2 linked regions of the Stegostoma tigrinum genome follow. The protein of the gene in region 1 interacts with the protein of each later gene in a pairwise test. Links are inferred from orthologs where the notes say so. Each region holds a gene or a part of one and is shown in the gene's direction. Other genes may lie near its edges.

The links. The genes of interacting proteins can lie anywhere in the genome.
Region 2: the proteins of progranulin (region 1) and nufip2 interact in binary tests that used the Homo sapiens proteins (3 or more experiments, as listed by UniProt). The link is inferred for Stegostoma tigrinum from reciprocal best matches to the Homo sapiens genes GRN and NUFIP2.

Annotation. Positions count from the first base shown.
Region 1 is NC_081384.1:30,758,801-30,762,551, reverse strand, and holds the start of progranulin, read left to right. Parts: upstream 1-1,401; 5' UTR 1,402-1,530; intron 1,531-3,751. UniProt on the Homo sapiens protein: Secreted protein that acts as a key regulator of lysosomal function and as a growth factor involved in inflammation, wound healing and cell proliferation. Regulates protein trafficking to lysosomes, and also the activity of lysosomal enzymes.
Region 2 is NC_081380.1:31,902,944-31,906,694, reverse strand, and holds the start of nufip2 (FMR1-interacting protein NUFIP2), read left to right. Parts: upstream 1-900; 5' UTR 901-939; coding exon 940-1,090; intron 1,091-3,751. UniProt on the Homo sapiens protein: Binds RNA.

The DNA of each region.
Region 1 (3,751 bases):
GTTTTGGTCTCCTTACTTGAGAAGAGATATACTAGCATTGGAGAGGGTGCAGAGGAGATTCACTTGATTGATTCCAGAGTTGAGAGGGTTGGATTATGAGGAGAGACTGAGTAGACTGAGCATATACTCATCGGAATTCAGAAGAATGAGGGGAAATGTATAAGATTACGAAGGGAATAGACAAGGTGGAGGCAGGGCGGTTGTTTTCACTAGCAGGTAAAATTAGGACTGGGGGGCATCGCCTCAAAATAAAGGGAAGCAGATGTAGGACTGAGGTCAGGAGGAACTTCTTCACCTAAAGGGTTGTGAATCTGTGGAATTCCCTGCCAAGTGAAGTGGTTCAAGTTACCTCGCTGTATGTTTTTAAGGCAAGGCTAGATAAATTTCTGAACAGTAAAGGAATGAAAAGTTACAGTGAGTGGGCAGGTAAGTGAAGCTGAGTCTCAAAAACCAGCCATGATCTTATTAAATGGCAGGGCAGTCTCGAGGGGCCAGATGGCCTACTCCTGCTCCTCGTTCTTATGTTCTTATGAATGATGGTTTCTGTAAATATTTGTACAGTTAATAGATCTTATCCATTCGAAGGTAGATTGTGCTTTGTAGGGAACCATGCCCTAGTTATTAAATTTTTTATACTGGAAGATTCAAAAGTGGAACTGGGAGTGTGCAAATGCACGTGCAATTCAGAGGTAAAATATGCAGCAGTACTGTAATCGTAACAAACTCGAGTTTATTTGGAATTATTTGCTGAAGCGGCAACATGTTTTGTCTCTGTGGATTGCCTTGATGCATCACCTAATTGTGTAGATTGGTTCATGAACATGTTCGAAATCCTGGGCAGCAAAAAACAGAAGTTGCTGGAAAAGCTCTCAAGTCTGGCAGCATCTGTGAAAAAAAAATCAGAGTTAATATTTTGAGTCAGGTGTCCCTTCTTCAGAGCTTTGAGGAAGGGTTACCAGACTCGAAATGTTAACTCTTGAGTTTTTTTCTTCATAGATGCTGCCAGACCCTTTGAGCTTTACCAGCCAACTTCTGTTTTTGTTCCTGTTTTACAGCATCTGCAGTTCTTTTTTGTTTTTATTTGAAATCATGGGGACTGATAACTTCTAATTAATCTAAAAGTTTCAAAAAAGACTTAAACTGGCCTCTCACACATCCTTCTTGTTGGAAGTTATATTCAGTTTTATTTCAAGATGTTGGTTGAGCTATCTGCAATTGCTTTTTTTTGCATGTGAAAACATTCAATTCAAATACATATCCCTCTCAAACTGTTGCTGCATGTTTATTTTGTTTGATTAAAATTCAGATTGACAAACAGGTTGAATTTTTGGCCGGTGGAGCAACTGAAACTCAGCAGAAACTTGACAAAGTTCAAACTGCCCCTATTGTTCTGTCTTGCAGTACAGTACTCATTTCCTCACAGTCACATGATATGTCGTGCTAGAACAAGAGGGAGCTGTCAGACCAGCAGTCCAGTTCTTCACCGTTGTGTCTAAGATCAGTTTCCCAGAGTGAAAGCTGGAGTGTCAGGTATTTTCAGTTTTACATCTTTTCAAATTGAACTAACCAGCAGCTGAATCATTTGAGTGTAGATGAGATTGTGTACTTACTTCAAGCAAACCAGAATAGTAACTCTCCTGTTCACCAGTTAGTTGCGATTCCCTTGCTGAATTGTGTTGAAACTGTGTGTTGTTAATATTGTGGATTTCTGAGGGGTTAACCTGTTAGTCTTTGCTGGGCAGTGAATTCTGTAAATTACTCCTTGGGACTAACATCAGTTGCTTTTTTTTGTTTTAAAAATAAGAACATGTACAATCATATGTAAGTAGCATTAAAATGCTTGTCAGTAAAGTTAGAAATTCCTTACTGATCACACAGGCAGAAAAGCCATGTAAACATTCCACCCCATGCTAAGTGTATTTGGTAAGAGCTTGTGAATTTCTTTTAAAAGAAGTTGTTTCAGTTTCAAAACTTAGAGCTCCCTCGCAATCACAGACACGTACTCAGTTGGCATGAATTTGGGAACAGAAAGGAAGTAAAATGCAAGAGAAGTGACCCAAGTACAGCAGATTGTGATAAGGGTGTGCCATGCTATAATTTGCAGAAGCGCTTAATGCATTAAAAGCTGTCATTTGTTCATACCTTACGCACATATTTGGCTTTGTGTTGCCTCTTGTATACAAGTTTCTGGATTGTTATGCGTGCCCATTGTTCGAGCAATATTCTTTAATACCAACTTCACTTTATTTGTAAGCATTTAACTGCAAAGAAATTGTGAAATAATCAAAGCTGGTTACTTCCCTGAATGGCCTGTACTTTTTTGAAATTGGTTTCACTTGAAACCAGCTTTGTTGCAATGCACTTTGATTTTCAAATCCTACAGTTCTACTGTGTGCTGGTTTATTTCCTGGTTAAAACTTTCGTAGCGCAAGCTAATTCAGTCAGTAGTATTGTGTTCCCTTTTGAGACTTGCCATAGAGTCATAGGTTCATACAGCATGGAAACAGACGCTTCAGTCCAGTGTGCCAATCAGACATCCCAATCTGATTTAGTCCCATTGCCATCACTTGTCCATATTCCTCTAAACCTTTCCTATTCGTGTACTCATACAGATGCTTATTAAATGTTGTAATTGTGCCCGCTTCCACCACTTCTTCTGGTTGCTTGTTCCATACATGTACCACCCTCTGCATGAAGAAGTTCCTCCTTGGGTCCTATTTAAATCTTTCCCCTCTCGTCTCAAACTTATGTCATCTAGTTTGGGACTCACCCACCCTGGGAAAAAGACCTTGGCTATTCACCGTATCTATGCTCTTCATGACTTTATAAACATTACCAAGGTCACCCCTGGCCTCTGACACTCAAGGGGTAAAGAGCCGCAGCTTGTTTAGCCTCTCCCTGCAGCGGAAACCCTCCAGTCCCAGAAACATGGTGATAAACTTGAGCAGGTTCAGAAAAGATTTAACACCTTCCTATAGAATGGTGACCAGAATTGAATATAATATTTTAAATGTAGCTTCAGCAATGTCCTGTACAACAGTAACATGATGTTCCAACTCCTGTATTCAATCTACTGAACAATGGAGGCAAGCTTGCCAAACGCTGCCTTCACCACCCTGTCTATCTGTGAATTCAGTTTCAAGGAATCGGGCACCTGCACCCCTAGGTTTCTGTTCAGCATCACTCCCCAGGGCCGTACCATTATCTGTATAAGTCCTACCCTTTTTTGCCTTTATCAAAATGTAATACCTCATGTTTATTTAAGTTAATCTCCATCTTCTACACTGTCTACTGTGGTGTCATCTGCAAACTTCCCTCTGATATTCACATCAAAATCATTTATATAAATAACAAAAAACAGTGGACCCAGCACCGATCTTTGTGGCACACCGCTGACCACATGCCTCCAGCCCAAAAAGCAACTTTCTATCACCACCCTCTGTTTCCTACCTTCAAGCCAATTTTGAATCCAATTGACTAGCACCCCATGGATCCTATGTGATCTAAACTTAGTAAAAGTCTCATAACTTTTATGAGCGATATCATACTTTAACATTGAAATACTTGAGTACTGTACGATTTCTAGAAAACAAATTAGATACAGCTGGAATAAGATCTGATGCAGCCTTAAGAGAAGTATTGCTGTTTGTCAGGTAGATGGCGTTTATGGTGGAACTGTGTTAAAAATGTTGATTAAAAGACTGGCATTTATATGGCGCAGTTCAAACTTTTGAATGCTTCATATAGCTTT
Region 2 (3,751 bases), on another chromosome or scaffold:
GGACCTACCCGGGACACCTAATCCAGAGATAGGGACACTCCAACGACCCCTGCTGGAGTTGAGGAATATCTGATCATCAAAGATCTGGTTGAGAAGCCTGCAGATTGGATGGGCAGAGTGGCCTGCATCTACCAATCCGTCTTTTATGGTTACCCTGAAAGGAAGATTTTACGAGCTGGGGAAGATGTAGGCGGTTTGGGAGGCTGGATGATGGAAGCACGGCCGGCAAAAACAGAAATTGTTGGAAAAACTCTGCGGTCACAGCAGCACCTGTGGACAGAAATCAAGAGTTAACGTTTCGGGTGCAGTGGTCCTGCTTCGGAAGCCGAGAGTTTGTCACTGATTTCCAGCGTCTGCGGTTTTATTTTCTTTTTTAAAAAGGAGAAAAAGCGCGGAAAGACAAAAGAGAAAAGCAATTGTCGGCCGAGGCGCAAAAAAAATACAAAACCCTAGAAATTGTCCGCCGACGGTAAAGAGCTATTCTATCCATTTCTCAACAAAGTCAAGCACCGACCTGTGCCGAGGGAGGCCGAGCTAACGTTTCCAGTTCAGTGACCCTTCAACTGACGGGGGTGGAAAAGGAAGAGGCCGTTCAGCCCCTCGCGTCACGTCAGCCCCTCGCGCCAACTCATCAGACAATTGGGTCTTGTGTTCGCCACGCGAGGTGTGGGGGGGTGGTGGAGGAAGCAGGTCCGTGTCGAATGTGCCGTTCGGAGTAGAGCGCGACGCGTGCGGTGAGGGGCAGAGACCAGCGAAAGGAGTAGGGGAAAGAAACAGTTGGAGGAGGAGCAGCAGATCAGGCCCGGGTGTGTCGAATCAGCTGCCGCCAGTCGGGTAAACGCAGGACGCAGGCGCAGTGCCACCTCCCCGTCTGCCTGTCTGTCTCTCCCTCTCCCTCTCTCTTCCCCCCCCCCGCCCCCACACCCACCCCCTCGTTCAATGGACGAAAAGTGCGGCCGCGAGCAGCCCTCAGCTCCCGCTCCTCTCACCAATGGAGACGCCCAACAGCAGCAGGCCGCCGGCGACCTAATCACCAAAGTAAGCGATGTCTCAGACGGTCAGAAAACGAAGAAAAAGAAGAAGAAAGCAGGTGAGAGCGCAACCGAAGATCTTATCAACCGGTGTAAATGTTATTGACGGGGAGAGGTTACGTAAAAAAAATGTCGGTTGATGATGGTGGTGGGGGCTGCGGGGGTGGGAGGGGGTGTAGGTTTGCAGCCGCGGATCGTGGTGACCTTGGTGGCTTCAGTTACACTCTTTAGGCCCCTGAAGGCCGTGCCGGATCTAATATTCCCACCACCACCACCACCTCCTCCGCCTCTTCTTGGTAACCGTGTCGCCGTCTGTCTCGTCTTTCCTTCCACCTCCTCCTTCACTCACAGCCTCTTTTCTGAGGGAATGAGGCGCGGTGCCGCTGGGGGAGAGGGGAGACGGTTGGCGGTCTTTTGCTCTATTTCTGCCGGCGTGAGTCGGGGCGGGCAGGCCGCAGGCCCCGGCCTGTGGATGGTGGTGATGGTGGTAGTGTTGGTGGCGGCGATGATGATGATGCCGGCTCACTGGAATGTTCTTCAGCTGCCATTTCCTGTCCGCCATGTTGGAGGAGACCCACACACACTCACTCCGTGTGTCTCTCTGCCTCCCCTTGGAGTTGGATGGTCAACGTTTTAAACAACAGCCCCCCACCACCCTGATGTACGTCACGCAAACGGGAGGAGGTTGCATTGTTGCTGAGCTTTTTAAAGAAAAGAAAAAAGATCTTTATAAATAGTTATCCCACTCTCCTGCGTGCGCGCGCACACATGAGTATTAACCGGGAAAGACAGGGAGTGTTGCTAGCGGCCCCTTCCTCGCCTCGTCTATTTATCCGCTCCAGCGTTAGACTTTTCTTTCCCTTTTCCCCACCCCACGTTTTTCTTCTTGACTTCAAGGGTAATCTCGTCCTCGACGGTTAATGTCTTCCAGATTCTTCTCGATGCTTCATCTCTTTCCTTAACCACCCCCCCCGCCCCGCTCCTTTCTCAATCAGGGTTGGTTTCATAAAGCGAAACATTGCTTACACAATTTGCTGTCTTCCCCCACCCCACGCCCGCTATTGAAGGAAAATATGTATTCGTGATTTTTTTTGGAAGGGTCCATTATTTGGCAGGTGCAGTATAGACTTTGCAACGTGGGAAAGTCGATGAGGGGTCCAGTTACAAGCGGGATTATCGAACACTTTGAAAACCTTAAATTATCGCAAATACTTAATTTTAGGACAAATGTTACAGTATATCAACAGCATCTTTGGGCCTTGCCAGGGACTACTCCAGGTAAAAGAGCCCTTACGCAAAAGACAGGCAGAAAGCGTAGCATTGACAAAATAACCTGATGTAACTTGTTTGATTTACGTTAAGGATCGAATAGCTTTGATTTCAGAAATCTTTAGTACGTTTTTGTGTCTTTAGATGCATTGAATTAAATGTCTAGATCAGTCATATGTTTGTCATTAAGTGTAAGGTTGAACTAGTACTTCTTACAAGCTGGGTTTAAATATGCTTGCAGTATGTTGTGTGTATGGGTGTACTTTCAAAAATATGTGAAATTGAGTATCCAGTGATGTAAGAAGTATTCCAAATCTGTAGTTTATCATAAATGTTTGAATGCTGGAAAATATGGAATTAAATAATTAAACTTTAAATTAGCCTTCAAGATATCCAGCATGTCCACTATAATAATTTGCACAGAACATTGTCTTAATTTCAAACACTTGCGAAGGAGATCCAAGGGATTGGTGGTATCGTGAAGAAACTTTTATTTAAGCACTTACTATTAATTGTTGAACTGTTTATATCTAGTTAGGTATTTGCCATTATTATAATTAGCCTGTGTGAAAAGAGGTCTTCCATCTATGTGGGGCTTGCTGTTGCTGCAATTTATGAAAGTAATCTCTTAGCTTTGACAATGATATTGAGTTTGTTCCATCAGTGTGAATTTCAAAATCATAATTTTTAAATTTGTGTAAATAGGCAAATAATCCCCTTTCTGTTCCTTTAAATTAGGTGTTGTTCAGCTGTAAATATATTTGTTCAAAACTTTGCTATTCCTTTCCAAATGGTTTTATGGCTTAAGCTCAAAAATTGTTCCATATCAATGCTGCATAGTATCCTGCATATGAGCAATGACTGTCAATTTAGAAGTTCGGTTTCAGGACTCTGCTTTATGTAGGAGTTCATTGAGATGGTTCTGAAATTAATTAAAGACCACAAAATATATTTTGTTAACAATTTTCTTGATGTACTGGAATCAAATCAACCACAAGTGAATCAGGACATGCTACTATTGTAAACGTGTAGGTTTCTTTATGTTGTTGTCTTGAATGTTTTTGAACGTGGCTGAGACAAGGGCACTTTATCTCAGCTTAATGTTGCTGAAACCCTTATCCATGTTTTTTGACCCCTATGCTACCTTGGGTAATCCTGGTTGGTCTTCCATGCTCTACCCTTTATGAATTTGAAAATAATCCAAAACTTTGCCCATGTACCAAGTCCTGTAGATCCTTCCCCTGCTAACCTGCTGTTTGGCTCCTGATCAATCTATTATTTGCAACCATGCTTTCAAATCTGCCTCTGCAACCCTACCACTCAAACATCTGGCTTCCTGAGTCTTCTGATTGTAATAACTTCATCCTTGCTTGCCAAGGCTCAGCTCTAGAACTTTGTAAGTATCTCTGCCTTTCTTTTGGTCCTCTGGATTTAAGCGTCAATATCTTTTT